Tamandua tetradactyla: one gene and its partners. The main gene of each other region encodes a partner of the protein of the gene in region 2 in a complex. Links are inferred from orthologs where the notes say so. Each region holds a gene or a part of one and is shown on either strand. Other genes may lie near its edges.

The links. Proteins that work in one complex are often made in the same cells at the same time.
Region 1: ACAD9 (region 2) and TMEM186 share a complex: the UniProt entries of both Homo sapiens proteins name them as parts of the mitochondrial complex. The link is inferred for Tamandua tetradactyla from reciprocal best matches to the Homo sapiens genes ACAD9 and TMEM186.
Region 3: the proteins of ACAD9 (region 2) and ECSIT are in contact, whole or in part, in a cryo-EM structure (PDB 8PHE), measured with the Homo sapiens proteins. The link is inferred for Tamandua tetradactyla from reciprocal best matches to the Homo sapiens genes ACAD9 and ECSIT. Residues at the interface, in NP_054768.2 of Homo sapiens: Leu180, Thr181, Asp188, Ala189, Ala190, Ser191, Ile192, Lys228, Lys239, Asp240, Lys241, Ile242, Phe293, Ala296, Met297, Leu300, Ile431, Met434, Tyr435, Leu438, Thr439, Leu441, Gln442, Gly445, Thr449, Leu516, Gly520, Lys521, Ile523, Met524; in NP_057665.2 of Homo sapiens: Pro321, Glu322, Glu323, Trp324, Asn325, Leu326, Tyr327, Tyr328, Pro329, Met330, Leu332, Asp333, Leu334.

What each region holds. Positions count from the first base shown.
Region 1 is NC_135349.1:48,648,106-48,658,784, forward strand, and holds TMEM186 (transmembrane protein 186), read left to right. Parts: upstream 1-5,986; 5' UTR 5,987-6,025; coding exon 6,026-6,028; intron 6,029-7,094; coding exon 7,095-7,730; 3' UTR 7,731-8,365; downstream 8,366-10,679. Other genes in the region: PMM2 (phosphomannomutase 2), read right to left, coding at 5,694-5,759. UniProt on the Homo sapiens protein: As part of the MCIA complex, required for efficient assembly of the mitochondrial complex I.
Region 2 is NC_135335.1:32,577,021-32,587,544, forward strand, and holds the start of ACAD9 (complex I assembly factor ACAD9, mitochondrial), read right to left. Parts: upstream 4,965-10,524; 5' UTR 4,862-4,964; coding exon 4,718-4,861; intron 86-4,717; coding exon 1-85. UniProt on the Homo sapiens protein: As part of the MCIA complex, primarily participates in the assembly of the mitochondrial complex I and therefore plays a role in oxidative phosphorylation.
Region 3 is NC_135337.1:90,395,638-90,406,932, forward strand, and holds the start of ECSIT (evolutionarily conserved signaling intermediate in Toll pathway, mitochondrial), read left to right. Parts: upstream 1-6,481; 5' UTR 6,482-6,570; intron 6,571-6,778; exon of another isoform or gene 6,779-6,898; intron 6,899-7,446; exon of another isoform or gene 7,447-7,495; intron 7,496-11,295.

The DNA.
Region 1 (10,679 bases), on a different chromosome or scaffold from region 2:
TTGTTCTTTAAAACATAAATGGAATCATTCCATGTTTTGTGCAATGACTTGCTTTTCACCACTATGCTGTAATCTTTCCATGTCAGCACACAGATCTAGCTTACTCCTTTCTAAGGCTGTACTGTTTCCCATTTATGGATATAAGCTGTTGGTTTTAAAGCAAATATAATGAGATTAAAGAAGTTCAGAAATGATTTATTACAATTAATCAAAACCAAGAAATAAAGCTTAAGAGTAAGATGACCAGATTTTTTTACTCTCATAAAAGAAAAGTTTGATAAACAATGGTCTCAATGATATTTATGATAGTTAAATTCCAAATTTTAAAAGAAACTGTAAACCAAGAAGAAAATATTAGACAAATCACAATGACTTAAAAAACCTTAAGAATTCATTAGTTGTTTTATCAATCTTAATTGTATGCATACATGAAATATCTTAACAAAGTTTTCAAAAAAAAAAATTCAACTTCAGTAAATAAACATCTGGAGTTCAATCAACTTTTTCTTTTTAAATTTTTAACCAGTAAAACATATATATGATTAATTATTAAAATAAAGTTGTACAAAAGGGTGTATAATAGATACAGTCTTTTCTACATTTCAGGTACAGTGGAATCTCACCCACTAGACAAAATCTCGAATAGCACCAGCAGACTCCATTAATCACCGAGGACTGTGAAAATGAGTCCCAGAGTCCCCAGCGGTTTACTCACACCTGACATCAGAATGAGAGATAGTGGAAAGGCTCTTCAATGCAAAATATTAAAAATGAGATACTTAAAAGAAAAAAAGCAATATTCCCATCTTCAAACAGAAGCCTAAAGTTATGTTTATCTTATCCTATCCCTCGTGGACACAAAAGAGCTAAATAGTTTTGTGGTCAGTCATGCTGACATAATCTGCAATGCGATGGGGTACAGAAAGTATCTTTTCTCTCCTAAGTGGCAGCAAACATTTTCTGACAGGAAATAAGCCCCAGCTGCCATGACAAGTGAGCACTTGAATTATATCCTACTGCAGCGGAGATCTACAGTACAAGATAACTGTACAGCAAAATTGTCTCAATATTCCCAAATAACTCATGTCGATAATTATAACAATTGCTTTATAAACCACCCCAGAAAAAATAAATCACCGAGAAAGATTCAGATGCTTGAATTGAAGAGGGATGAAGTTAAAAATTCAACTTCTTAAAAAAACCAATTATAAAAGACTTCTTGTGACAATTAGGACTATGGGCCAGGGGGTTGGGGCTGGCACATGAGGGCACACAGGCCCAATCTGGCCTTCTGCCCGTTTCGGTACATGAGTATTACTGGAACGCAGCCAAGCCACTTCATCTACACATCATCTATGGCTCTTTTCACCATCTGAATGCAGAACTGAATAGTTGTGACAGAGATTAGATGGACTGCAATGCCTCAAATATTTACGCTGCAGCCTTTCACAGAAAATCGTTTGCTGAACTCTGGTCTAGGGAGTTAAGTATTAGGGAACTGGGGATACTGGTCTTGGTCTCATAATGACACTGTAGTTAAGACAGAGGACGTCTGTGTCCCTAAGAGATGCGTGCTGAAGGAGCTGGGGGGAAGTACCCTGATGACTGTGACTTAGGAGGTGGTTGGGCAAGACAAATCACAAAAAATGTAGAGATAAAGTTCATATGACAAAATGCCAACTGTGGTTGAATCTAAATGGTGGGGATAGGGTGTCCCCTTGGCTGTTCTTTCAGTGGTTCTACATCTTTGAAGTCTTTCATAATGAAAAGTCGGACAAACAATTCACACAGGTTTATATCCCGTTCTTTCTGAAGGCTATGGCCCCAGATGGAATGGCATTTTTTAGCAAAGGACTCAGCACATTAAAATTCTACTCAAACAACGAACTGTTTGAGAAAGCCCTGGGGTCCACTCTAATTAGATTTTGCCTGGTTAGTTACTTGTTTCTGCAAGAAAAGATAACCCATTCTTCTGCTTCTGGTTTATACTGGACTTATCCATGTTTGGGAATTCATATATTGAGGAAGGGAAAGATTGTATAATGAATATATTTTTTGCTGAAATATTTTTATTTAGAGCAAACAGGAATAACTATCTTTTAATTAGACTTTTTTTTTTACTGTAAAAACTTATTTTCTGGGGAAGAATTAGCTTTACTCAAAGGTCTGACCTTTGCCCTCAGCTACCTGGAGGCGATTCTGGTCCCCTGGAATGTCCTGCCTGATATGAGTGTCTTTGTTTGCCTGGGGGCTTTGGTCACCAAATAGTTGACCAATTATGATGGGGGTTTTAAGCCATATGAGCAGTTCTGACCTCTGGAGGAACTGGAGAGTTAAGCTGAAGGGGCTGGAGACTAAAGGTCAGCCATGCGGGCAGTATATGATTAAGCCCTGATAGAAACTCTGCAAACCAAGGCTCAGGCAAGCTCCCCTGGTTGGTGATACTCTAAGTGTATTGTCACACACAGTGGTCAGGAGAGGGTGACACAATCCAGGACTTCATGGGGAGTGGAAGACAGAAACTTTACGCTTGAACCCTTCCCAAAATTTGCTCTATGCATCTCTTGCCTGATTCTAATTCGTATTCTTCCCCCAAATAAAACTGTTATTGTAATTTTATCACTTTCCTGAGTTGGGTAAGTCCTTCTACTGAATCACCGAACCTGATGGTGGTCATGGGAACCCCTAAACTTGTAGCCAGCTGGTCTGACATGAAGGTTGTCTTGGGTGCCTGTGAACTTGCGGCTGGTATCTGGAGTGAGGGCAGTCTTGGGGGACTGTTCCCTGTGACTTTGCAGTTTGGCAAACTCACTGCAAGTTCAATGCAGAAAAACAGCCTGTTTCAAATGTTTTAAGGTATGTTGGTTTGAAACCGTTGTGTACCCCAAAAAGTTGTGTTCCTTAATCTTGATTCAATATTGCTGAATGGGATCTTTTTGATGAAGTTGTTTTCATGGAGATGTGACCCACCTAGTTATGGGTGGGCCCTTTTGATTAGGTGGTTTCCATGGAGATGCATCTCCACCCATTCAAGATGGGTCACTTACTGGAGTCCTTTACGTGGGAACCATTTTGGAAAAAGCTTCAAAGCTAACCCAGAGAAGTCTAGAGATACAGAAATAAAATGCCCCCAGGGGAAGTTGTTTAAAGAAGCTGGAAGAGAAAGCTAGCAGGCATCACCATGTGCCTTCCCAGCTGAGAGAAAAAAACCCTGAATGTCATCAGTCCTTTCTTTAGTCAAGGTATCTCTCCCTGGATGCCTTAGTTTGGACGTTTTATAGTGTTAGAACTGTAGATTTGCACTTTAATAAATTCCCCTTATAAGAGCTGTTTCATCTCTGGTTATCATATCCCAGCAGCATTAATAAACTAAATCATAAGGGATTACACTGCAGGTCACCTGGTTTCTTTACTATTTCAAGCTTTAAGCTCAGACATTCTGAATCTTTCTGAGAATCTAAAGCACTTTTCCAAACAGCATCCATAACAACTGGAACAGCTTCCGTAGGAAATGGCAAATGTGGCAAACAGCGATGCCCTAGGGTCCAGGGATTTGTAGCAGGTCTGCTGTGTGAAACTGAGAAGGTCAAAACTGCATGGGATCTCAGGTACCTTATGCGTAAATTGGGAATAACAACTATCCTACTTGGAGTGGAAGAGGGAGGAAAGAAGGTATGAGAGGATCCAATGATATTGTGTAAAAAAAGTTTTGGAAATAAAAACTTAGACCAAGGATCAATCAGCCATGGTCCACTGGCCAAAGAGAGCAGCTGCTTGTTTTTGTAAATGAAGTTTTATTGGAACACTGCCATGCCCATTTGTTTACATGTGGTCTATGGCTGCTTTTTTTTTTTTTTTAACATACCATACACCCACCAACCACCAGCATCTCAACCTAAGTTTATTTTAACATTTACTCCCCCATTATTCATTTTCATTCCATATGTTTTACTCGTCTGTTGATAAGGTGGATAAAAGGAGCATCAGACACAAGGTTTTCACAATCACACAGTCACACTGTGAAAGCTGTATCATTATACAATCATCTTCAAGAAACACAGCTACTGGAACACAGCTCTACATTTTCAGGTAGTTCCCTCCAGCCTCTCCATTACATCTTGACTAACAAGGTGATATCTATTTAATGTGTAAGAATAACCTCTAGCATAACCTCTCGACTCTGTTTGGACTCTCTCAGCCACTGACACTTTATTTTGTCTCATTTCACTCTCCCCGCTTTTGGTCAAGAAGGTTTTCTCAATCCCTCGATGCTGAGTCTCAGCTTATTCTAGGATTTCTGTCCCATGTTGCCAGGAAGGTCCACACCCCTGGGAGTCATGTCCCACGTAGACAGGGGGAGGGTGGTGAGTTTACTTGTTGTGTTGGCTGGAGAGACAGGCCACATCTGAGCAACAAAAGAGGTTCTCTTGGGGGTGATTCTTAGGACTAATTTTAAGTAGGCTTGGCCTATCCTTTGTGGGGTTAAGTTTCACTATGGCTGCTTTTGCATTAGAGTTGAGTAGTTACTATAGAAAAAAGGGTCTGCAAAGATGAAAATTTACTGTCTGGCCCTTTACAAAAAAAGAATTGCTGATCTTTGTCTTAGACCGCTGTGGACCTTTAGCAACCCACAAATGTGTGCTATCACTGAACCTCAGGGCCTTTGGAGAACTTGCCAGACAGACTGAACCTGTGGCTCAGAGGATAAAATGACGTGACTAAGGTCACACACATATAACGTGGAATTCTGGGTACACCACTGCCCACTCAGCTAAAAAACAATGGCAGGAAAGGGAATAGGGTAGAGGGGTTGTACTTGAGGACGGTAAAGCTATTTGGGCCCAGCCTCAAATCTCAATGGCTGATGCTGAGCAATCAATTTGTGCAGGAGATAATAGTGAGCCTCATCACAAATGCCGATTTTAGCTGAAACCTATCCATATCTATGGCAGCAAAATCTGGGAATGAGAAGCAAGAACCTAAAAAGTCCGAGAGAAGTCTCAACAGGTAGCCTCTAACTTCAACTCCTCTGCTGTCCAGATCCACTGCAGGGGTGAGAAAGGAGGGTGGTGGCTCACACTTATTAAAGCCTGCTGCGTGCAAGACACTTTTACAAGCTTATTTTATTTCATCTGATCCTCACGAATAACATAAAAAATACAGAATGTCCTCACTTAAAGCTGCAGACTGAGGTGTAGAGAGGTTAAGTGACTTGCTCAAGGTCACACAGTGGTGAAGCTGAGACTCGCCTAGGACTGCCTGACCCCGAATTCTTTGATTTTAATATTAGGCTACACAACACAGCTCATGGATAACGGGACCTCAGAAGGCACATGGCTGGTAAGGAGCCCTGAGCTGTGGTTCAAATCCACGGCCACCAGCCCGCAGGACTTACGGAGAGATTCTAGAACTGCACTTTTCAATCCAGTGCAAGTTTCCTGCTCTCAGGCGTTTTTTGGTTCCGTCCCATCACTCAGAACACCCTGAGGTCTTGAAGAATTGTACAGGGCTTTCTTCACATCCCTCCAAGACACCAGATTAAGACTCAGCCCCTTGGAGTTGGTAGGAGGTCATTAGCCGACCGGAGGTGGTCCTCAACCGCCCTCGCCGCCCACCCAGGGCGTCGTTAGTCCCGTCTGATCCCAGCAGAGGGCTCCACACCGGCTGCCGCCGGCCCACCGGGCGCCGCCTACCTGCCGCGGGGCCGTCAGAGTCCCGTCCACGTCGAAGAGGCAGAGCACTGGGCCGGGGTCCGCCATGTCTCCGGTCCCGTGACCACCTAAGAGGACTCGTTGGCACCAGGAACTCAACCCGGAACTTCCTGGTCCGGCCCACGTGCCGCAGGGCAAGCCGGGAGGCGGAGAATCTACTCCCACAATGCCTGGGGACTAGCAGCGACTACTTGGCTTTGGACCACAGCGACCAGAATGTAGTGCGCCTCGACGTTGTCGTTGCACGTATGCGCATGCGCCCTTAGAGGTCCGGAGGCAGGCGGGATTCACTTCCGGCAGCCGGCTGCGGGGCCATGGTAAAAACGCGAGTAATGGAATGAGGGAGGAATTGCGTTTTCCGGGGTTAGGGTAGAATTGGGGCGGACGGGCAGGACGCCCGAGTTTCTGACTCGGAGAATCCGCGGGAAGAAACTTCGGCGTGGGTTGCACTTAATTTTCTGGCTTCCTGTGCCCTCCATAGGTCACATGGGCTGATAATAGTGATGGCTAAAACTGACCGAGCGCTCACCTGTTCAAGCGCCGTGTTGAGGACTTTCAAATCATTTTATCTTTCACTTTGCTGTGAATCCCCATTTTTAAAGATGGGCAAATGGGCTCTCAGAGGTGTTGAGTAACTTGTCCAAGGAGATACAGCTAGTGACGGTTGGAGCCAGGTTGGGACCCAGATTGGGACCCAGATCTGGCTTCAAGGCCCGGGGCTCAGAGCTTTTTCCATTTTGTTCCACAAGGTGTAGAACTGCGCGCCTAGGATAATCTTTTCCCCTTCCCCTCTGCTGTTTTCCTCTCCTGAGCTAGGCTAAGGAGTTAGTTAGCAGTTAGTTGGTTAGGCACCCAAGCTAACGCATAAACCTGACAGAGAATTGAAAAGTTATTATCATAAGTATCTCACTGATTTCTTGCTCCAGTATCCTGATAGGACACTGATTGTTTACTGGGGAAGTGTCCACACAGCCTTGTGGATCCAGTGCTCAGCATAATGCCAGGCCCACAGTTGACCCTTATTAGTTATTTGTGGAATGAATGAAGGCTGGTCCCCCTTTTCTTACCTTTTTGGAACTGCCTGGAGGTAAGAGGAACGTTTTGAATGTCAGACCTGGCCTCCCTCACTAGCTGTCCATTTTGGGGCAAATTTTTTTTATCCTTTGTGGGTTTGGTTTCCTCAGTGGTAAAGTGGAAGTAGTGCTCTCTACTGCACATAGCTGGTGCAAAGGGCACTTGAGGTAGAGCATCTGGTTTTACCTTTCTCTTCATCTCTGGTGTCACTGATGACCTCAGGATGAGGGGGGAGTCTCTGTGTGAGAAGCCTTGCAGATTACTATGATGGAGTTCTGTAAGAGAAATGTTCTCCTTTCTCCCTTGCAGGCTGCCCTTCTCCGAGCTATACCCCGGTTGCGGGGACCAGCTGCGTGGGGAAGGCCTCTCTATGGGCTGTGGTGCTGCACTGAGCAGGATCCCAGGAGGTGCGTGGGGACCAGGTCACCCACCTCAGAGGAGAAACCACCAGACCCAGAGAAAGAGAAATTCCGTATGGTCTACCGGTTTGATGCCATCAGAGCCTTCGGGTATTTGTCTCGACTGAAGGTGGCACAGACAGCTCTGACAGTAGTGGCCCTGCCCCCAGGCTTCTACTGGTACTCCCAGGGCCTCATGACTCTCGACTCTTTGTGCCTTGTGGCTGGGATAGCTGGCTTTGCCCTGGCCATGTTGTGCTGGATGAGCTATTTCTTCCGAAGACTGGTGGGAATCCTGTATGTCAGTGAGTCGGGCACCATGCTGCGTGTAGCACACCTGAACTTCTGGGGGTGGCGGCAAGATACATACTGCCCTGTGGCTGATGTGATCCCCCTGACGGAAACCAGGGACCGGCCTCAGGATGCGTTCATGCGAATTCAGCAGTACAGTGGGAAACAGACCTTCTATCTCACCCTGCGCTATGGACGCATCCTGGACGAAGAGCGGTTCACACAGGTGTTTGGGGTCCTGGACACACTCAAGTGAATCCCTAGCTCTGGTCACCTAGATCTCTGAAGGGAAGACTGAGCGTACAGGGCAAGGCTGAAGAAGAGGATTGGACAGTTGGAGTCTTTGCCAGGACCCCTGGGAACTTGTCTTTTGGGAAGAGGAAATTCATGAGGCAGAAGCTAGTAATCAGGTTTAGAAAAAAGATCCTTAGTGCAGATTCTTAACTGCAATTTGTGTATATGACATTAAGTCAAATAATGACAGTTCATGGAGGAGGCTACGTCAGGTTCACCTGCATGGTACACAGTTGGGAAATTAGAAAACAGAGATGTGGCTGGGGGAGCCCAGGATTTGGAGTCTGAAGACTCCCAAGTTTTTCATTTCTCAGCTTTCTGTTGAGGGTAGGTTCTTGAATGTCTTTGAACATTGGTTTTCACATCCACAAAGTGGAGAGTCCTGCCTGTCTCCTGGGATGGGTATAAGGATAAACAGTAAATATCCGAATGCTTTGAAAACTCAGTGACCCTGAGCAAATACTAAGCTTTACGTCACAGTCCCAGACACTGCTCTGTTCTGAGGGTACCAGAGGTTCATAAAAGCCTTGGAGGTGTTTGTCGTTGAGTGTCTTGTGGCAGGACAGACATTAGACAAATAAACCTATGTTGTTACAAGTGGTGGCGAATGCAATGGGAGAGTGGGGTGGTTGGGGTGGGGAGGGGCATGGAAGGGACCTTAAATAGAGCCCTGAGATGGAAGTAAGAGGCAGGCACAGAGTTTGTTTCAGTCCAAGGAAACTGTGAGTATGAGCTGGGGAGAGCTGGGTGCATTTGCTGAGGAACAGAGAAGATGTGGAAGTGGAGCTAGGGAGGGAGGAAGAGCAAGGTCAGGAGACCTGCCTTGTTGGCAGGAGGGAAAGATTTTGAATTTTATCGATATCACAGTAGGAAGCCTTTGAAGGTCAGAGAAAGGAATTAAAACTTTTTTTTTTTAAGAACAAGAAATCACAGCTACTTTTAAAAAAAAATTTATTAATTAAAAAATTAAGAACAAAAACATTAAACATTAACATATAATTCTGTTCTACATATATATTCAGTAATTCTCAATATCATCACATAGTTGCATATTCATCATTTCTTAGAACATTTGCCTCAATTCAGAAAAATAAAAAGACAACAGAAAAAGAAAACAATAACAGAAAAAAAAATTATACATACCATATCCCTTACCCCTCATTTTCATTTATCACTAGCATTTCAAACTAAATTTATTTTAACATTTGTTCCCCCTATTATTTATTTTTATTCCAAATGTTCTACTCGTTTCTTGACAAGGTAGGTAAAAGGAGCATCAGAGACAAGGTTTTCACAATCACACAGTCACATTCACAGCTACTTTTAATGTTTATTCACCTTTACTTAAAGATACACATGAAGGGACTTAGGCTTACTGGTTTGTTTCAGTTGTTAAATTCCCTTTACACTTCAGTTCCTGCCAGTGGGAGAAAGGGCATGGTGGTTGGGGGAGGTATGAGTTTGTCCTTCATGCTTGGAGACACTGCGCACCCACTGCCAGTCTTTGTGCCCCAATAGTTTTCCTAGATAGAGGGGCCTGGAGGGGAGGACGAGTGGCATTTATACATTCTCAGCATACAGTGATTCTCACAAAGTGAGACCAAGAGCATGGCAGTGGGCCTAGAGAGCCCCAAATCCATACAAAAGTGCTTGCTCTTTCTTCAAGGTACATGCCAAACCATTCCATTGACTTAGGTCTTATGATGACCCTATTTTAAAAATATATTCAGGATCAGACCACTACTCACTCCCTGTACCATTACCACCCTGATCTAAGCTGCCTGCATCTTTGGATAGCTGCAGTCCACTGCATCCTTCCTGGCTCTACCAGACCCTGTTCTCATATCAGCAGTGATCCTTCAAGACTGGATACTGCTGTAAAAGCCAGAGTCCTTACAATGGCCTACAAGGCTCAGCATGGTCTAGCCCAGACCTCCCCAGAGCTCTGCTCTGTATGACTCAGGCACACTGACCTTCTCCAAGAAGCAAGGGCACTCCTGCCTCAGGACCTTTGCACTGGCATTCTCTGCTTAGAAGGCTTTTTCACTAGATACCTGCACAGAGGGCTCTTCCTTCAGTTTCTCCCCCTGTATAGTGGGGACATTATTTCTGTTCAAGAAGCTGTAGTGAAGGTTCAATTATGAGGCAGTGTTGGGCATGTGATAGGTGTGTTCCCTTATGATTGTTTTCCTCACCTGCTTCTCAGCCCCTTCTGGGATCAACTGAAGCTTTTCCCCTCAAAGACATACAGTCTATAGCTATGAAATGTCTTAAGAGGTATGAGTGATTTGACCTTGATCTCATTAAAGCCAAAAATTAATTCAAATGCCCTCCCTCAGTGTTAGGCTGGTTGTAAGCAATTATCTGAGTGAGCCTCACCCCTGGAGGTTCTGACCGTGTAGGTCTGGGGTGGAGCCTGAGAGGCTGTCTTTTTTGGCAAACTTGAACCAACTCCGAAATGCAGCCAGGTGGGGACATTTCTGAAATAGACTGCCAGGACAGAGACCCTAAAATGGGACATGCTTCTGCAGATCTTGTGTTCCTAGGCCGTTTTTGTTTTTTGGTCTCCAGATTGGGTCTTCAGGCTTACCTCCATGTATGGGATCACCTCGAAAGCCTTTTAAAAATACCAGTGCCCAGGTATTGCTATTTGAAAGGTCCCCCAGATGATTCAGATGTGCAGCTAGGGCTGACAAAACCTGCCCTAAAGTAGTCACATTGGAGCCTGCAAGGAAGGACTGTGAGCCCTTAGTCTCACCAGGCCACTCCGATTTGTGGTCTGCCCACACAGTACCAGCAGAGGTCGCACCGAACAAATGTTATTCTATCCACTTAACTCCTAACTAAAGCCACAGCTCTCCACGTAACAATGGGAAGTGGCTTAGGGCTTCTGCATGACAACGCTAGAACA
Region 2 (10,524 bases):
TGAAGAATTTTTCTAGTGGTATCACAAACTGATTGATTTCATTCAGTTCATCTTGGCTAACTTCAGGAAATGGGAAAACTTCTTTCTAAAAAGGATAAACATTTACTAACAATTTCATTTTTTAACAGCCTCCCACCGTGGTAATGTCAGTCAAGAGAAAAACATTTGCAAGATTTCACATCTGTCTGGCAGGACATTACATGCAGAAGGAATTAGAAGGTAAACCTGAGAATATGCCTAACCAACAGGGATTGCAAGCTAGACTGCATCACCTAGCTGAGATTGTTCCTGATTTTGGAGAGCTTTCCTTTTCCCATTAAAAAAAAGGCACTGGATCAACATTTAGAAGGCCTGAGTTCCAGTTCTTGATTTATCGTTTCCTGATTGTGTGACCAGAGCCACATTTCTTCACAAGCCCAAGCTTCCACTTTCCCACCCATAATATACAGGTAATATTTACTCAAGGGTGCTGTGAGGGTTGTGGAAGATAATGTGTGGGAAAGAACACTACTTAAGATTCTACATCGGCTATTTTGTGTGTTCAAAGATGTTGACAAGGGCCTAAGTGGCCGCAAGGATCCAACCTCAGGCCAGGCCCCCACAAGGCTGCCAACTATGGCCTCTTTTCCTTCCCACCTCCTGATGTCTGCTACTTATGCTGCATGTGTGAGCAGTGTGGTCACTGGAAGAGACCCAGCCAATAAGCCAGAGTCACCAGGTTCAACCAGCTCGGCCAATTCTTAGCTATGATTTGTGGGGCAAGTCAAACAGCCTTTCTCAAAGTGAGATGATCCTATTTATCTTAGGAGGTCAGTGTGGGGCTCATAAGAGATTACATGGCCTGGGACATGTAGCTCTAATTACTTATGTTAGATATTGGCTCTGCTCCTGTCTCCACCTTGTGGCCTGGAAAATGACTTAGTTTTGAGTCTCCGTCTCAAACTGGTAAGTGGCCAGTGTTTCTATCTGGCCCAGGATTTCTCCACTGAGCCATCACTAGACATTCCTTGAAATCATCTTGCTGTGTCCTCAGTCCCTCTGGCTTTCTTCACTCCAGCGATCCCTGCAGCTGCCAGCATGGGATGACTATATGGAGTTAGACCCACGGTTGCTGAGAAGGGACATCATGGGTCAAAAACTGCCAGCTCCCAAGAGCCCTGCCTCTCCTCACAGTACCACTCCTCAAGCATCTTCAGAAAGGTCTTTAGAAGAGCGCTCAATCTATCCCCTCCGACCTCTGTACCTCAACTCAACCTCCAAAGCCTTTCCTCTCTGGCCCTGTGACTCCAAGCTTACAGGTGGATTCCTACTTCAAAGTGGCAGCTGACAAAGGAATTCCTGCTTCCAGGCCATCCCTGACCCAGCCCTCAAAGTGATCAAGAAAGAAAATGCAGGATAACTCCCATCACTCTGCAGCCCCTAGAACAAAGTCCAATCTCCATAGCTTAATATACAGAGGATCAATCCATCTCTATCACATTCTCCTTCACAGCCTCATTAGTTCTTCCTGAGGCCATGTGCAATGGGCTGCATTATAGGAAGATATTCTGGTACCCATGAGCATGCCAGATAAGAAAACAGCCTGGAACTAACTGGCCCTTGACTATGACCAAAGGGTATCTGTGACATGATACCCTGAGCTCAGGTACATGTAAGAACTCTCCAATTACAATGTTTGAAAATTGAATGGGATGTCTCATAGGCGCTGGGTTCAACTAGTAATTTTCAGTTTGTTTTTAAAGCATGGAAACTGTTTCTCAAACAACTCTAGCATAGAAAAAAATAATAATATAAAACAGATAAAAGCCAAGCTGCTCCAATTGAGGCTGGAGGTGGGGAGAAAGATCCCAATGGCCCACCCACTCAGTTTCCCACTGGTCTTGGCAGGAGCCCCAGGGGCAGTTCCGGGAAGAGCAAGTGTGGCAAATGCTGGCCTAGATGAGCTTAATGATCTCTTCCTATTCTGAGATTCTAAGCATTGCTGCCACTTTCCTGCTCAAATTCCGATAATACTGTGAGAGCTGAGGTTGGTGATTCTGGATATAAACTGCAGGAAGGGAAGACAGGATGTGTTGTCAGAGTAGATGTGGATATAAGAATAAGAGTTATAAGGATTCCCAGTGTTCAGTCTGAACAAGTAAAATAACAGTTGCCACTGTCTACAACAAGGAAGGTGGTGGAGTAGAGAGACCAGCAACTCAGTTTTGAATGTTAAACTTGAGACAACTATTAGGCATCTCTTATGGGCTGAAAGGTGTCCCCCCAACCCTTCCTTCCCAAAAATATGTTGATGTCCTAGTCCCTAGTCCCTCGGAATGGGACCTTATTTGGAAATAAAGTTGCTACAGATTAAGATAAAGTTATAATCAGAAATTAGAGCAACGATTCTGAATGGGATGAGATGGGGGGGTGGGATGAGGTAACAGAATGTGGAGTTATTGCTTAATGGGTGCAGAGCTTGTTTTGGGTGACAAAAGTGTTCTGGTAATGGGTGGTGCTGATGGTAGCACATGGGGAACTTAATCAAAGCCAGTGAAGTATACACTTCAATGGTTCACATGGGAAATTTTGAGTTGCATATATAATACCACAACAAAAAGGTTTAAAAATGATGAAAGATGAGGTCATAGTAGCGTTGGAAGGCTCCTAAACCAAAAGGACTGGTGATCTCAATAGGGTCTGACACAGGGGAGGTAGCCATGTGAGGATGGAAGCAGAGAGTAAAGTGCTGGAGCTGCAAGCCAAGAAACGTCAAAGACTACTGGCCAACACCAAGAGCTAGAAGAGGCAAGGGAGGAGTCTCCTCTACAGGTTCAGAGGGACCTTGCTTTCAGAACCAAGACAATAAATTGCTGGTGTTTTAAGCCACCAAGCTCGTGACAGGGGCCCTAAGAAACTAAGACAACATCTAAGTGGAGCTGTGGGGCAGAAAAGTAGACATAAAGTCTGGAGTTCAGCTCTGGGGCAGAAAAATAAATATAAAGTCTGAACTGAAGAAATAAACTCATAGCCCGAGCCTTAGAATATACCACTCTAACTGGGTATGTCAGAAAGAATGACGAATGTGTAGAGGTCAAGGAACTGAGAAAGAGACTGGGTAAGACCAGACTGAGGTAAAAAGAAGAACTGGGATAGAATGGTCTTTCAGAAGACAGGTGAAGAAAGTGCTTCAAAGAGGGTGGTGGGATGAACTGTCAGATGCCAATGATAGGGCAAGATTAGGACCGAGAAGAGACCATTAGATTTGATGATGTGCAGGCCACGACCAACTTTCAGGAGAGCAGTTTTAGAAGAGTGTTAATGACAAAAGCCTGAGATGAAGTAGAGAAGGAAACACTGATGATGCAGATGACAAAAGACAGAGTAAGTGAATCAGATCCTTGAAAAGGTGAGAAGGCATGAGGTCTAGTGATGAGGCTGGGCTTTGGGAGTTGAGAGTTCATTCACAGTCATAGGAAGAAAGTAGAAGAAATAGGTATAAATGTGGGGAGGAGAGGGTATATGTGATGATGAAAGTTCTCCTTGACTGCAGGTATTTTCTTAGTGAAGCAGGAAGCAAACTTGACCGCTGAGAGTAAGGATGGGAGAGTCGGCACCAGAGGTTCAAAAACCTGAAGGAAGAAAAGCTTGTGTCCTTTCCTGGCCATGCTGTTTAGAGGCATAGGTCCCAGGAGACAGCACAACACAGCCTCACATTCAGGGTGAAAAAAAAAAGGTTTCCCAAACTTTAAAGACTTAGATCTGCACTCACTGACAGGAAAACCCACTCTCAGTCTGTCTCAGCTTCTACACCTGTACGGCTGGTATAAAAGGGTCAGCCTAACAATCGCAGAGGAATGTTCTAATGAGAAAGGAACTGACTCCTTAAGCCATACAGCAGCAGTCAACTTTTTGCTAAGCCTTGCTCAAAGCACTTCACAAAAGTTTTTTCTTTGGACTGCACAGCACCTTTAGCTGAGGATGAATTATGTTTATACTCCTATCCTGTAGAAGAGCCCACTGAGGCACAGGGACCTAAGTGAGTACCTGAAAGTTACACAAATAAGCACTGACGCCAGCATTAACAATTCTGCTGCCTCTTACCTCTACCCAGTACCTTCCTGCTTAGAAAACAGTTCCAGATACCACTGTGAGGTAGAAGCATGACTAGATGCATTTTAAGGTTGAAGAACTAAGGCCCCCCAAGTCATAGAGCCGAGGTCAATTTCAAGTCTTCAAACAACAAGAGGATGGAAAGTGCTTAATAACCAAACCGCTGCTATTGACTGTGACCGCGGAAGGGATGGCGAGAAGAAGGCACCTTGGAGCCAGGTTCTTCGGCAGCCTGAATGGTAGGTTCCGGAGCCGGGACTCAGCTCTGAAACCTAAGAGCAGTTGGAAGCCCACGAGGAGCGGCAGGGTCTGCGCTGTTTAGAAATCAGAGAAATCTCGCACATTTTGGGGCTAAGACAACCCAGTTGAGCTCTGCTTGGCGATCACCTAGAATAGGGTTTCCCAAATTAACCTGACAGGAATTAGCTGGAATAGCTGTCAAAATCATGGTTTCTCCAGGCCCCTTTCTCTGGAAAGGCTGGAGTGGGACTCGTAACACGCCCCGCCCCCAGGTGATTCCAGTTAGGCAGATTTGGGGACACTGACAAAGCTCGACACCTGTTTTGCTTGCTAGGGCCGAAAGGTGGGAGCCGGGGAGCAAGGGTCAGCTCGGGCCTGGCGTTACCTTCTCGATTTTGCCCAGGAAGAGCTCCTTGGCGAAAGCTCCGCTCGGAGGGCTGGTGCGCAGCGTGCGTCGGCTCGCCGGGAAGGCGGCCAGAGCCCGGCAGGAACGCGCCGCCGAGCGCAAAAATAGCACGCAGACGCTCATGCTGCCTCCAACTCCTTAAGCCGCCGGGTCCGCCGCCGCCACTTTTCAGCATCAGCAGTCTAGTGCACCTGACTCGCGTAGCCCGATGACGCCACTCGACTGCGACGCCCCCCCCCAACATTGCGCTTGCGCTACCTCCCGCGGACTGCCGGCTGGAGGGGGCGGATCCGGGGGCGGGCCCGGGGGACGGGAAGGGGCGGGGCCGGCACCGGCCCGGGCGCCATGTTGGCGGCCTTGACCTCCGGTGGGTGGTGCATGCGAGGTAGGTTATATCTTCCAATGGCAGTCCTCTCCAGGAACAGATTGGTCTTCTTTCTTTAATCTCTCATTGTGCGTGTACCATGACTGTAGCATTTACCACAGTATTGGAAAATATTTTCCGGCTCCATTATATGAACTTGAGAACAGTAGGAAATCTCGTTCATGTCAACATGCTTTAACCCCCTCCTTGAGCGAGTCTCAATAAAAAGTTGAATTAATTGCGTTAAAGACCTGATGACCCAACGTCAGAAAGATAAGAACCCAAAGACTTATTTGGTTAAAAAATATTTGCAAAAAAATTGTACTTTGGGTAGGGTGTTGCCTAATTTGACTTGTGTGGTCAGTTCAGTTGAACACCATAAACTTGAATAAGACAGGAGATCTTGTTGGTTTGTACAGGTTGGTGTAAAGCCTGGATATATCCCCGAGTAATCTGGGCAGAGAATGAAGAAGTGTTTGTGGGGGCTGTGGAGGGCCAGGAGCAATAAATCAGGCCGGAGCAAGGAAAGTCCCCAAAAATCTGGGGCGAAATGTCCCCAAGAGTTAAACAATGACCAATGTTAGGAAACTGAGGGAACAGGATGTGTTTTGGCAACAGTTAATGGCATTTTTCTGCTTCTGTAATTACACTTGCTTGCTAGCACCTGCAAACCACAACATGATTTTAGCCTTTATAAGCTCACCTTGAAAACCTCTGGGAGCTGCTCTCTGAATCATCCTTCTTGAAGGTTTCTGAGGCAGTGGCCAGCAGGTTAATAAAGACTCCCAATTGGCTTGCAGTTTTGAATTGTGTGGTCTGTCTTTCAGTGCGCCCCACAACATTTGGAGGCCCCAGCAAGATTATCCCTAACAGGACATCTGGTGACCACCGGTCCTGGATCGCCCCTGGAACCAAGGTCCAGCATAGGGGAAGGCCTCGGAGAGACGTTCCTCCACCCCAGGCAAGGACCAGGGACCAGGCCGGTTCTACAGGACTCTCCTAAATTATAGAAAATCTGGTGGAGTCATCTGTTTTTGGAAACCTCACCGGTGAGTACAGGTCTGTTATTGGATCCAGTGAGGACCTCTGGAGGGCTGAATGCAGCATTACTTCTGAGGTCCAGTCCTGGAGCAAGACATTGCCCAGGACTATGGGTTAGGAATTAGTTAGGGATAGCTCTTTGCTTATTTTGATTTGTTTTGTCCCTCCTCCCAATTGTTGGTCTCATCGCATTCTGTGTCGTTCTTGTCTTAATTGCCGTGGGTCAGTCAAGTTCATCTGTCTGTACTCCCCTTCAATGTTTTTTTAAAAATTTTCAGGAATTTCAGCCGAAGGCCAGAGACTACAGAGCCCCTGTCAATACCTTTGACTTGGAAAAATTCTGTTCATGGGAGTAGCCAACTTTTGGTACTGGGTGGCCTCCTGAGGGAACCACAGATCTATCTGTGGCTTATAAAGTCCAAAGGGCGATTTTTGGTAATCCAGGCCACACTGACCAAATCCCCTGTATGGTAATTTGGATTGAAATCTTTACAGAAAAACCCAAGTGGTTACAGTCCTGCATGGAGACCCAAAAAGGAAAACCCCCCAAAGCCAAACGGCCCTCTTAATAAAATTCTCTCAGAAAGAAAAAAAACTAATGGGATCCCAGTATTGACAGGACCCTTGGAGGATCTGCTCTCGATGGACCCTCCCCCATACCCAACAGCCCTTCCGCCCCCTCTAAGACCAGAGGGGAGGAAAGGTCAAGAGGTGGCAACCAGCCCCTCTGATAGCCAGGAGGTGACCTTCAGTCCCCCCCATACCAGAAGTGGTTCTGCTTACCACCCTTCTTCTGGTTCACAATCACCGGATTCTTCTGGAGCTCCAATTTTACCCTTGAGGCAGGTTGGCCCTGCCCTGGGGGATGACCGTCCACCTTTCATGGTCTATGTCCCCTTTTCCTCTAGCGATCTGTGTAATTGGAAAAACCAGAATCCCTCTTTCTCTGAAGAGCCGCAAGGGCTCATCTCCCTCTTGGAGACTGTCTTTTTGACGCACCAGCCCACCTGGGATGACTGCCAACAGCTCCCCCAGGCCCTCTTCACCTCCGAAGAATGAGACTGGGTCAGGAGAGAGGCGAGGGAGTTAATTCTTGGACCTGATGGACAACCTACTACTGAATCAACCCGATTAGAGGCTATGTTCCCCTCCACCTGTCCCAGACAGGACCCCAACACTGAGAGAGGTAAGGAGGCTCTTGATCGATATCACTGGACTCTGCTCTGGGGAATACAAGTGGCGGCCAAGAAGCCAACCAACTTATCTCAGGTAAGTGAAACCGTACAAAAGCCTGATGAATCTCCGGCCGCTTTCCTTGATCTCCTCCTTGAGTCATACCACTTGTACACCCCTATAGATCCAGAGGCACCCAAAAATAGGCGAGCTGTAAATATAGCATTTGTCACCCAGTCGACCCCAGATATAAGAAAAAAGTTACAGAAATTAGAAGGATTTGAGGGTAAAGTGCTATCCGAACTGATAGAGAGTGCCCGCAAGACTTTTAATGACAGAGATAACCCCGGAACCACGCAGTCCCAAAAAAAAATAGCCAAAATTTTAATATCCGTGATGGCTGAACAGGAAAAACAAAAAGGTAGGGTACACAGGTAGTTTAGTGGTTAGAATGCCCGCCTTTCATGTGGGAGACCCGAGTTCGATTCCTGGACCACGCACGCACGCACGCGCGCACACACACACACACACACCCCAAAAAAGGAAAAACAAAAAGGTAGACAAGAAACCATTGAAAAAAGAAAGGGAAACCAAGGAAAAGGTTGGGCCTACTAATGTGCCTACTGCAAAGAGAATGGACATCAGAAAAATGAATGCCCTAAAAGAGAAATTAAAGGACTGAAACCAGCCCCTGTTCTAATTGGAGAGGTGAATTGATGGGGACAGCGCTCCTTTCCATTGAGCCCCCGGGAGCCCAAGTTCACCTTAGAAATCTGGGGCAAGCCTATAAAATTTCTTGTGGAAATACTCGGGCGACCTTCTCCATCCTCCAGCAAGCAGAAGGGCCCAGATCTAAGGAAAAAATCCCCATACAGGGAGCAACGGGAAAGACAATGTCTTACCCATGGACGAAGACAAGGATCACTGACCTTGGGGAAGGAACTGTCACCTACTCGTTTCTTGTAATGCCAGAGTGTCCATACCCCCTTTTGGGGAGAGACCTTCTCCAGAAATTACAAGCCACCATCTCTTTCAAAAATGATTCGGCCGAGCTCTCCTTCAATATAAAACCCTCGGCAATCTTCCTCACTTGCCCCTTATTGGATATTCACTTACTGCAGAAGTGGTGCTGTTGGCCCCAGGCCCATATTTGCGGGAATTTAAAGAAAAAATACCAGGCATATGGGCAGAAACTAACCTACCAAGATTAGCCACCCACTGGCCTCCCATTGTTGTCCAGCTGACTAGCACCACCACCCCAATCAGAGTCCGACAGTACCCAATAAGCTTAAAGCCTAAAAAAGGCATTGCAGTCCATATCAAAAGACTCAGAGGCAGGTATTCTAGTCCCCTTCCATTCGGCCTGGAACACCCCCCTTCTCCCAGTCCAAAAAACCCGGGACTGACGATTTCCGGCCAGTGCAAGATTTCCAAGAGGTAAACAAAAAAATTGAAACCATTCACCCCACTGTGCCTAACCCATATACACTCTTGAGCCTGTTACCTCTCAGCCAGCAGGTCTACACTGTTCTGGACTTAAAGGATGCCTTCATTTCACTTCCCCTGGCCGTGGTAAGTCAACCCATCTTTGCTTTTGAATGGACTGACCCAGAGTGGGGGTTCTCTGGACAACTAACCTGGACTCGGTTGCCTCAGGGTTTCAAAAATTCTCCCACCCTGTTCAATGAGGTTTTAAGCCAGGATCTGGCTCGTTTTAGACAAGAGCATCCAGAGATAACTCTCCTACAATATGTGGATGACCTCTTACTGGCAGCTAATAACCTGTCAGACTGCAAAAAGGCAACTGAAAACTTGTTACAGGAACTAGCCCAGTTGGGCTATTGGGTCTCAGCCAAAAAAGCCCAACTCTGCACCAGTTCAGCAACATGCTTAGGGTATGAATTAGAAGGGGGAAAAAGAGCTCTGTCTTCTAAAAGGATTGAAGCTATCCTAAAAATACCCTAACCAAAAATGAAAAGGCAGGTACGGGAATTCTTAGGGGCAGTTGGATATTGCTGGCTCTGGATTCCCGGGTTTGCAGAGATAGCAAAACCCCTATACACTAGCACAGGGGGAAAGGAGGAAGCTCTACCTGGACTGAGGCTGAGCAAAAAGGTTTTAAGATGCTGAAACAGGCACTTGTGAGCGCCCCTGCCTTAACCTTGCCTGACATATCCAAACCTTTTCAACTACATGTCGCTGAAACCTGGGGAATAGCAAAAGAAGTCGTCACCCAAATGCTAGGGCTATGGAGGATACCAGTTGCCTACCTGTCTAAAAGACTAGACTATGTAGTGGCCAGGTGGCCAAGCTTTCTCTGAGCCATTGCCACCACTGCCATTTTAGTAAAAGAAGCATCCAAATTGACTCTGGGACAGGACTTACACGTAGTGGCCCCACATTCAGTAGAAACATTACTAAGGAGCCCACCTGAGAGATGGCTCTCAAATGCCCGGATAACCCAGTATCAGGTATTGCTACTGGATCCCCCAAGAATCTGCTTCCTAAAAATGGTGGCTCTTAACCCCACCACCTTGCTTCCGGATGATGATCCGTCCGAGCCCATCCATGACTGTCGTGAGATTTTGGAACCTCTCACGAACCTGAGGGCTGATCTCACCGACAACCCCTGGCCAAATCCTGATGGAAAATTATATACAGACCGGAGCAGTTGTGTCTCAGAGGGAATCAGGTATGTGGGGACAGCGGTGATAACTGTGGACCAGGTCATCTGGGCTCAGGCCCTAGGACATGGGACTTTGGCCCAGAAAGCTGAACTAATAGCTCTGACCCAGGCTCTAAGATGGGGAAAAGGAAAGGTTGTCAACATCTACATGGACAGCAGATATGCCTTCGCAACTGCGCACGTCCATGGGGCACTATATCAGGAGTGGGGACTTTTAACATCGGGAGGCAAGGGAATAAAAAATATACCAGAAATATTCACCTTGCTAGAGTCTATTTGGTTGCCAAAGAGGGCAGCCATTATACATTGCAAAGGACGTCAGACTGCCAAAACTCAAATCGCCAGAGGAAATGCCCTGGCTGATAAAATGTTAAAAGAGGTTGCCCAAAAACTAGTGGGGATGCTGCAGATACTTTCTGTTTTACTGGGGTGAGTGCTGCCGAGCCCTCCAAAATATACCGGGGAAGAGATTAAATTGGGCAAAACTCTGGGCACTAAAACAGATCCGGATGGTTGGAAAGT
Region 3 (11,295 bases), on a different chromosome or scaffold from region 2:
ATCTCCTGATATCAGGTTCCAGCTCATCCCAGGATTGCTGTCCCACGTTGCCAGGGAGATTTACACCCCTAGAAGACATATCCCACGTGGCGGGGGGGCAGGGAGGCCAGTGAGTTCACCTGCCGAGCTGGCTCACAGAGGCCACATCTGAGCAACAAAAGGGATTATCTGGGGGTGACTGTTAGGCATAATCATAAGTAGGCTTAGCCTCTCCTTTGCAGGAATAAGTTTCACAGGGGCAAACCCCAAGATCAGGGGCTCGGCCTATTGATTTGTTGTCCCCACTGAGAGCCTCAGTCTTTTATTTGTCTCCCCCACTAGAATGTCAATCCCCAATATCAGAAATACCTTTTAGCCCCCTCACTGCTGTTCCCCAAAGCTGGGACCTGAAGGAGTGCCTGGCAGGAAGGGGGCACATAAGACACATCTGCTGAATGAATCTGAGCCTTCTCGCGGTGGGCTGGGCCCCCCACTACTGTGGTCCTGAGTCCAGGTTGCCAGAAATGTTGGAGAAAGTTCTTCCACAGCTCTTGAATCCTTTCCCATGCTCTTCTCTGGGAGCTGAGGGCTCCCCCACCCTGTACTGTAGTGGGTGAGCTGGCAGGCCCTAGGCCCTGGAAACTCCCGGAATGCCGAGGATGCCCAGGACCAGCCAAGCCAAGGTCAACACCCCCGAAATTTAGAAAGGCATCTGCACCAGACAATGTGGCACCATCGGCACCTCTCAGCAGAGCCACTAGCAGGTTTCAGAAACCATGTGCGGACAGGAAAGTGGAGACGGGGGTGAGGGAGGGGGATGGAGATGCAGGAGAGAAGCAGGAGAGACACCGCCCCCACCCTCCAGACCCAAGGACACAAAATTGACCGAGGGTCGAGGGTCGAAGGTTGAGAGCAGACAGCACTTGGCGCGAGAGTTGGTGACAGGATGCAGCTGGTCCTGGGTCGGCGGAAGGACGGAGGGAGGCAGGGACCGAGAGAAGCTGTGCAGAAGCCAGGCAGCTGGGGGTGCTCTGCTTCTTCTTTTTTTTTTTTTTTTTAGCTTTTAAATTGTACAATATAACATATATACAAAGCAAAGAAAGAGAAAAAGCAATAGTTTTGAAAGCACTCTTCAACAGGTAGTTACAGGACAGATCCCAGAGTTTGTCATGGGCTCGCATACCATCCTCTCAGATTTTTTCTTCCAGCGGCTCCAGAACATAGGAGGCTAGAAGGAATAAATGTACATATTTTTAACATCACAATCGACTTTTTTTTCTTTTTTTGTGAAAAATAACATATACCAAAAAAACAAAAAAGCAATAAATTTCAAAGCACAGCACATTTAATTGTAGACTAGATTTCAGAGTTTGGTATGGGTTACAATTCCACAATTTTAGGTATTTACTTCTAGCTGCTCTATGATACTAGAGACTAAAAGAAATACCAGTTTAATGATTCAGCAATCCTATTCATTTGTTAAAACCTACCTTCTCTTTATAACTCCACCATCATCTTTGATCTTTCTATCCCTCTCTTAAGGGGTGTTTGAGCTATGGCCATTCTAACTTTTTTATTTTAGAAGGATCTGTCCATAATATGAGGTAGGGAGATGGAACTATCTGATGTTCTGGAGAGGCTGGGCCTTCTAGGTTTCAGCACTTATCTGGTTCAGGGACCCGTTTGGAGGCTGTAGGTTTCTGGAAAGTTACCCCTAGTGCGTGGAACCTTTACAGAATCTTATACATTGCCCTAGGTGTTCTTTAGGATTGGCTGGAATGGTCCTGGTCAGGGTTTGGCAGGTTATGATAGGTAGCAAGGTCTACCTGAAGCTTGCATAAGAGCAACCTCCAGAGTAGCCTCTTGACTCTATCTGAACTCTCTCAGCCATCGATACTTTTTCAGTTACACTTCTTTTCCCCTTTTTGGTCAGGATGGAATTGTTGATCCCACGGTGCCAGGGAGACTTTCACTTGGGGCTTCTTTTAAAGCCTCAGATGAGCAGACACAGAGGTAGAAGCAGAGAATCCCAACAAGGATAAGGGACAGTTGCAAGTGTTCTGAGGTTGCTGTGGACAGTAGGAAACAGGCATCCATGCATTCATCCATCACTATCACTAATATGGACTTAACATGTCCCACGCTCTGTTCCAGATGCTGGGAAATGGCACTCAGCAAGACAGACAGAAAACTCCCTGTTCTCTAGACTATAAGCCTTATAACAACGTTGAAGTTCTTGTATTTCATCACGGTCCGTAAAGTGGTGTGCTGGTTTGAAAGGATGTATGTACCCTAGAAAAGCCATGTTTTAATCCTAATCCCATTTTGTAAAGGCAGCCGTTTCTTCTAATCCCTATTCAGTACTGTAAATTTGGAACTGTAATCAGATCATCTCCCTGGAGATGTGATTTAATCAAGAGTGGTTGTTAAACTGGATTAGGTTGAGGTATGTCTCCACGCATTTGGGTGGGTCTTCATTAGTTATACTGGAGTCCCCAAAAAAAGGAAGCATTTTGGGGAATGAGAGATTCAGAGGGAGCAGAGCAGAACGACATAGCCATAAGAAGCAGAGTCCACCAACCACCTTTGGAGGTGAAGAAGGAAAACGCCTCCCGGGGAGCTTCATGAAACAGAAAGCCAGGAGAGGAAGCTAGCAGATGATGCCGTGTTCGCCATGTGCCCTTCCAGATGAGAAACTGACTGTGTTCACCATGTGCCCTCTCACTAGAGAGAAACCCTGAACTTCACCGGCCTTCTTGAACCAAGGTATCTTTCCCTGGATGTTTTTGATTGGACATTTCTATAGACTTGTTGTAATTGGGACATTTTCTTGGCCTGAGAACTGTAAACTAGCAACCTATTAAATTCCCCTTTTTAAAAGCCATTCCATTTGTGGTATATTGCAGTCCGGCAGCTAGCAACGTAGAACAGGTGGTGACACAGTCAGCTGTCTTGTGTTTAGGATACGTACATGGAATATGCGTTCAAGGAGCATGATGTACACAGCCTACTCTCATAGGTTTAGAAAATAGTTAAATACATAGACGAATGGAAGGATCAACGGATAGATAGACAGATAAATGGTTGGATAAACGGATGGATGGATGGATGGATATGTAGATAGACAGGCAGACAGACAGATAGACAGACAGAATCAAATGGTAAATGTGGCAAAATGTTAAAACTGGTGGATCTGGGGCGTGGGGAGGCTGGTGGGGAGATACCTTGGGGTGTCTCCAGTGGCTTTGCTACGCAGCAGCAGGAGTCGGAGAGACAAAATGCATGCTAATGAGAGCATCTGATTCCCCAGTTACCGAGAATCCAGGCCAGGTCTGGAGTGCAGCAGGGGTGAGAGTGGGAAGGGAAAGACTGGGTGAATGTACCCCCCAGTCCCACCCAGCCGGATTCCAAATACAATCGAGTGGGCAACCAGAGGCATCAGCCACCACTGGCGAGGGGAAGGGAGCGGGGACTTCCCTGACCCCCACCCTGGACGACTCAGGCCAGCTCATGTGGGAAGCTGGCATGGATGAGTCTGGGCTTGACTGGCCCGTGAGGCTCCTTGGCTGGGCCAGCCCTGCTCTGGAAATCTCCCCGGAGGGTCCCTTTGTCTGTTTTTTTTTTTTTCTCCCCATAGTGAGATTTTATTGGTTGTTCTGAAGATGAGCACAGACATTATGAACAATTTGTACACAATTCTCAATGCACGTACCAAAAATCTAAAAAGCCATGTAGTTGTAATTCTTTTCTAAAATTATTCCAGTGGCTTTCCAGCTTAAAATTTGGAGGCAAGTTTATCCTATGAAGATGAGCAAGTACCACTGTCTTCAAATGGTGATAAGCTGTTACATCACTAAGTCCCACTAATTCACAATTTACTATTATACACACCACACGCACATTTCCAATCTTCCCCAGCATATGATGAAGTTATGAGGCAAACTGGACTACCACGACCAAGGACGTTACAGTGTGCACGCAGTTCTGACAGGGATAGCCAAGACTAGGGAGCAGTTTTAAGAAACAACTCTACTAAAAAACACAGAACAGAAGTTATTTAAAATGTCCAACATGTACTAAATGCATGACAGCGACTCCAAACCTTCATTTAGTATATGTTGTGTTATAGGGTGTAAAAACGGCCACCCCCCACCCTATGGAACCTTAAGTTGACATCCGAGACAGTCAAAGCCTTCCACGTCAATATCCCACTGTTTTCTGGTTGTATCAAAAAAGAAACAACCAGCAAATAATTTCCCCTCTTAAATAAAAGCATTTACACTTAAAAAAATGGGATGAGGCGAGATTCCAATCTCCTCCCTAAAAATGTTTCTGCTAGAGCTACTAACAACTTGCATTTACAAAATAGTTGATAAAAATATTCCTCTGGGTTGTACAAGAAGGGACAAACAGGGACCACTGATAAGGCATGGGATATGATATTAATCAGACTTGGCTTCTTTCTCTCCTGCTGCATCAGAGGTTGGACTCTCCTCATTTTTAGTTTCTCCATTTCCTGCAGGTAAATCTTTAGTTTCTTGGTTAGCCGCTCCAGCTTGTTTGCCCTTTGCTCCCCTTTTCCCTTTAGGTTGCACTTTTTTGTCTGAAGACTTATTTTTCTCCCCGCCGCCTTTCTTGGCTTCGTTTCCACTTTCTTAGGAGCGGGGGTGGGGGTGGGGGTGGAATCAGAAACTGGCGAGGGGCGGGGACAGGTTTTTCCCCGCCCCTCCATTCCGCGTGGCCCCACCCCTCTGCCTCCTGGCTCCCTGGAGTCCAGCTCAGGGCGAGATCTACTGCGGGTGTGCATCCAGGGGAGCAGAGTTCGCACGCTCTGGGGCACAGCCATCGCTGGGTAGGCACTGGGGATGGGACACACAACCACATACACAGATATGCATGGTGTAGTCGGAAATACAGTCACACACAGATTGTTGCCATCGTAGACAAAGACCCACACAGGGTTGCCTGGACACAGTCACAGAATCACTAGGACAGGGACACACACTTAGGCTCAGCAGGCACACAGTGTCGTCTACTGTCAGTGACACACCAATGGCGAGGAAGAATCACATCCATACAAGTCAGAGACACACGAGCGTGCCACAAACACACACCCAGGGTTGGACACGCAACCACACACTGTCACGGGCTTGGTGTGGTTGGGCCTGTTACACCATTGCTGGGACACAGAGTCACACACAACACAATGAATCACACACTGTGTGTCACGACACATGCAGTCACGTGTGTTACAGACTCAGTCACGGACACACACTGGGAATCAGACACACAGTCGCACATAGAGAGACAGATATGGGGTGTCACACGCACAGTCACATGGACCCCGAAAGTGGGACACCATCACTCGCGCACAAGTTAGGCACAAACGGGAAGTCACAAACACAGTCATTGACCCACTCGTGTCCATACACACAATCACACACACATTAAGGCCCAAAAGCAATCAGGGAAGTGTGCTTATCCATATTGCCAGCCTTTAAAGTTGTGGGACATACACACAAACACACACACACACACACACACACACAGAGTCACAGACACCCAGAAGCTGGTCCAATTACAGGCACACCTGCAGCTATCGACGCAACGGATACACAAAGAATCCACACACACACTCACCCAGACACGCTGTCACACACACCTATGCCTAACCTGGCCCGGCTCACACGGGCACAAACGGGGGCCACCCTACCCCCTCACAGCGTGGTGTGTGACTCTGATCGCCCCCGCACCCCTTGGCTCGAGTTTTGAGACGCCGCAAAGAAGCATAACACCGTCCACACTGTATCACCCCGACATCGGACCCCAGGACACACAATCCGTGAACACACGCAGCGGGGCGGGACCCTCAGTCCCCAGAGAAGGTGGTCTAAGAGTCAAGGCAGACTCCGCGTCCTGGCAGTGGGGGTGTGGGGGTGGGGTCTGCTGAGGGTGAGTGCCCCATAATAATAGCAGACACTTATATGGCAGTTCTGCATAAAGGAACGCAACCAAACCTCAAGCAACCCTATGAGGTTCGGTATTATCATTGCCCCATTTCGCAGGCGAGGTCATCGAGGCACAGTCTCCGAGCTAGAATTAGCAGGACCTTCATTCACTGCAACGACCCTCAGCGCCTGGAACTGCACCTGGCACCGAGCGAGCGCTCAACACATGTTTGTTGCAAAGTGAGGGAATCCACATCTCTTCCAGCTTTAATGAGTCATCTTCGCGTCTCAGGTGGGGAGAAACTGGGGCCTCGGGCAGTACCCATAGGTCCCGGGAGTCCAGCCTCGCAGCGTGGAAAAGTTCCCGCGGGTCCTTCTCCAGCCGCGCTCTCCGGTTCCCAGGATGGGGGGCGGGGGTGGTTTGCCTCCTCAGGGGCGTGGCCGGTCAGTTGTGAGGCGGGACCAAGGTAACTTCGCCTTCCTATTGGTGTTTCCCCTGATGTGGGCGGGAAATCGCTAAACTGGCCTTTTTGATTGGCTGTCGCCCCGGTGGCCCGTGACCCGGAAGGCCTTCGGGCCAACATGGCTGCGCCCAGGGGCAAGCCATAGCCGGCCTGGAGGCCGAGGCCGGCAGCGTTAGGAGGTAAGTGGGACCGTGAGGTGCGCGTGAGGGGACGAACGCGAGCTGCTGGGCCCGGGGGCAGCCGGTTCCGTATCCCCAAGAGTGGAGGGAGGGTCCCAGAGGGAACCAGCCTCCAGGGTCAGGGAGCCATGACCTTTTGAGGTGCCAGGAGGAGACGTGCCGGACAAGGACGCCCGTCGCCCCACGCCCCTTATTTCTTAATTTGCAGATGAGACAATTTAGGCTCAGAGAGGTTAAAACACTGGTCCGTGGTCACACCGCAAGTCGGTAGGGAGGCGGGAATTCCAAGCCGCGTCGGCCTTTTTCTTCCCAGGGATCCAGAATCCAGGTAGCCAGCTGCAGAGTTGTACGTACATCCTGCCGCGGGATTCAGAATTATAGAAGTGTAGCGCTTACTCTCATTCCACTGATACTTGTTGGGTAGCTACTATTTACCAAGCACTGCCCTGATTGCTGGAGATACAACAATGAAGAAGACAGATTCTTGGAGGAACCAAGCTTTGTAGAAGTCAGAAATAAGCCTGAAAGGATTTCAGACACTGAAAACTGCTAAAAATGCATTAGTTGGGGGTGATGAGAGCTTTTAGATTTGGGGTCGGGGACGGTCAGTGGAGGCCTCTTATTTGAACAGAGACAGTCCTAGGGAGATCTGGGGAAACAGAGTTTCAAAAAAGAGAGAAAAGCAAATGCAAAAAAAACTCTGAACCTGGAATAAACTCGGCTTTAGAAACAGTGTAGCTGGAGCTGCCCATGATTGAAGTAGAGTTTGGAAGGGGAGGAGTTAGGGGGTTTTATTTTAAGTGTGATATAACATTGGTGACTTTAGGCAGAGAGCACTGAATTTAGTTTACGTTTTAAAACGCTGCCTCTTGTCAGGGTGGCGACGACTGACTGGAGGCAGCCAAGGGCAGAAGTGGGAGACTGGGTAGGTATCCAGGGACGGGTGATGGATGGAGAGAAGTGGATGCATTGGGAATCAGTTGGGAAGGAGTTCTGGTACTAGTTGATGGATTGCTTGGGGGAAGGAGGGACATAGTGAACTTGCAAAATGTTTGTGGCCTGAAAACTTGAAATGGTGGCACCATTAGGTGGGATGGGGAGAAACAAATTTAAGCAAGGATGTCAGTTTGGAGGAAGTCGAGCTTGAGATGGCCAGATTTGTACCAGAGTGGCTCTTAGGTATTGAGGCTGGAGCTCCTGGCTGGTGTTGGAGATACATTTTTGAGAGTACATAGATCAGCATTTTTCAGACTTTAAGGCACATCAGAGACATCTGGGGCCCTTGCTGAAATGCACATTCTAATTCCGCAGGTTAGGATTAGAATTAAGATTTTACATTTCCAACAAGCTCCCAAGTAATGGTGGTACTGCTGGCCTTAGGGACACAGTTTGAATAGGAAAAGTTTAGAATAGTGGTTCTCTATCTTCGCTGCATACCAGAGTCATTGGGGTGCTTTAAAAATGCTGATGCCGGGGCCCCACTCCTAGTTATTCTGAATTTAATTTATCTGGAGTTTAGCCTGAGCATGAAGATTTTTAATTTAATTTACTTTTACTAAAAATTTTTTCCAACACTTTACTGAGATACATTCATATATCATATAATCGATCCAAAGAATACAATTATTGTCTCACAGTATCATCCCATGGTTGTGCATTCCTCACCACACTCAACTTTAGAACATTTTCATTACTCAAAAACAAACAAATGAACAAAAACAAGCAAACAAAACCCATCACGTCCCATACCCCTTATCCTCCCCTATTATTGACTCTTAGCATTGGTGTGGAGCATTTATTACTGTTGATAAAAGAATATTAAAACATTATTAGTAACTATAGTCCGTATTTTGCTGTAGGTGCATTGTTTCCCATATATCACTGTTATTAACTCCTTGCAATAATGACATACATTTGTTCTAGTTCATGAAAGAAGAGTTAATCACAGTCATTGTCCACCACAGGATTCACTGTTAAGCAGCCCCGTTTTTATCTTCTAGATTTCTTTCTAGTGACATAGTCTACTCTAAACCTCTCCCTCTCAACCACAATCACTCATGTAATTCAGTGCTGTTCATTAAACTCACCATATTGTTCTACCATCACCTCTATCCATTTCCTAATTTAAATTCAATCTAGTTAAAAATCCTACACAAATTAAATATCCATTCCCCATTCTAAAAATGCTCATTCTACCTCCTGGTAACCCATGTTCTAGATTTGATCTCTGTGAGTTTACTTGCTATAATTACCTCATATTAGTGAGATCCTAGAATATTTGTCACTTTGTATCTGACTTATTTCGGTCAACATAATGTCCTCAAGGTTCATCTGTGTTGTCCCAGGCTTCAGGACTTCCTTCCTTCTTACAGCCAAATAATACTTTCTTTATCCACTCGTCGGGTGATGGGCACTTGGGTTGTTTCCATCTTTTGGCAATTGTGAGTAATGCCGCTATGAACATCAATGTGCAAATGTCAGTTCACATCCCTCCCTTCAGTGCTTCTGAGTCTATACCTAGTAACAGGACTGCCGGATCATATGGCAGTTCTATACTTAGCTTCCTGAGGAGCCGCAAGCTGCCTTCCAAAGTGGCTGCACCATTCTATGTTCCCACCAGCCTTGAAGAAGTGTTCCTATTTCTCTACATCCTTTCCAACACTTGTAGTTTCCTGTTTTTTGTTTGTTTGTTTTTGATATGGCCATTCCAGTGCGTGTGAAATGATATCTCACTGTGGTTTTGATTTGGGCATTGGGAATTTTTAAATCTCCCTAGATGATTCTAATATAAACAAAGTTTGAGAACCACTAGAGCTGTGTACAGGAAATACAGAGAAGTGAGGAATAAGTTCACTGATGCCACAAGAAAGCCGACAGATGAATCCAGAATATGGGGTTCTGCAGGCTCATTTTTCAAAGCATCATTCCGCATCAGCGTCATGCAGGAGCTTTTACATGTGCAGACTCTCTGGCCCCACCCCAGGCCGGCGGAATCAGAGTCTGCATTTTACCCAAGATACCAGGTGATGCATATGCGCTGTCAAGTTTGTAAGCATTGTAAATTTTCTAGAAGGAAGTGGGAGGGAAGGGGAAACTGCTGAATGACTGAGAAACAGAGGCCTGGGATCTAGGAAGCAAACCAAGCGGATGTCAAAAGAAGAGGCAGGATGGGAGGGAAGAAGAGGGGGGTGTCACCTGTACCAGGAGGTCCTGAAAAATTGAGGAAGATAAAGCCTGAGAAGTAACCAGTGGCTTAGGTAAGATGTAAGACACGGGGTGGGGCTGCGGCACCTTTACAAGACTGGTTTCCGTGGGATGACGAGAGCAGCAGCCAGGTTGGGGACACTGAGGAAGGAGCCTCTTGGGAGAAACTTTGCTGTAAAGGGAGTAGGATATGGAGCAGAGGCTGGAGTGGTACCTGGGGTCCAGATGGGAGAAACTAGAACAGATTTAAATGGCACTAAGAAGGGTCCAAACATTTTCCAACTTATTCTATGAGGTCAGTGTTATCCTGATACCAAAGCCAAATGCAGACATCACAAGAAAGGAAGACTACAGGCCAGTATCTCTAATGACTGTAGATGCAAAAGTCCTTAATTATGTACTCTGACCATGTGGGGTTTATCACAGACGTGCAACGTTAGTTTAACAGGAAAATCAATTAGTGTCATTCACTATATTAATAGAATAAAGGACAAACCACATGACCATCTTAATGCAGAAAGATCACCCTTTCTTGATAAAAACACTCCACAATTCTGAATCAGTGGCAACTGGTGTCAATGAGAGAAATGCAAATGTAAACTAGGGAAGATATAAGGAATACAAAGTAGTTTATTATTCAAAGACTCTCTTGCTATAAAACAAAACAAAAACACACACTCCACAAACTTATAGAAGGAAACTTACCTTGAGAAAGGGCATCTCCTACATAATGGTAAAAGACTGGATGCTTTCCTGCTAAAATCAGGACAGAGACAAGGATGTCTACCCCCACCACATCTATTCAACATTGTACTGGAGGTTTGAGCTGGGGCAGCCAGGCAAAAAAGAAATAAAAGGCACCCAGATTAGAAAGGAAGAAGGAAAACTAACTTATTCAGGCATAACATGGTCTGGCTATAGAAAATATATGAAAATACATGTTCATCCTAAGGCATGCACAAAATAATGATTAGAGCTAATAAACAGATCCAGGAAGGTTGCAGAAGAGAGGATGAACATATAAAAATAAGCTATATTTCCATATACAGCAAACAGCGTGAAAATGAAATTAAGATCGTTTCCATTTACAATAGCTTCGTAAAGAATAAAATACTTAAGAACAAATTTAACAAAAGAAGTACAAGATTTGTTCACTGAAAACTATACAAAACGTTGAAGGAAACCAGGAAAGATCTAAATTGTTAGAGAGACATCCCATGTTTGTGGATCAGAAGACTTAATTAAGATGGGAGCATCTCCCAAATTGATCTACAAATTCAACAGAGTCCTTATCTCTAGAATCTCAGCTATCTTGCTTGTAAAATTTGCTAGCTGATCCTAAAATTCTCGTGAAAATACAAAGGACCCAGAATAACCAAAACAATCTCGAAAAATAACAAAGATGGAGAACTCACATTCCCAGTTGCAAAATTTACTACAAAGCAACAGTAAACAAGACACTGTGGTACTGGTATAAGGCTAGATAGATAGCGCAATAAAAGAGAATTAAGAGTCTGGAAA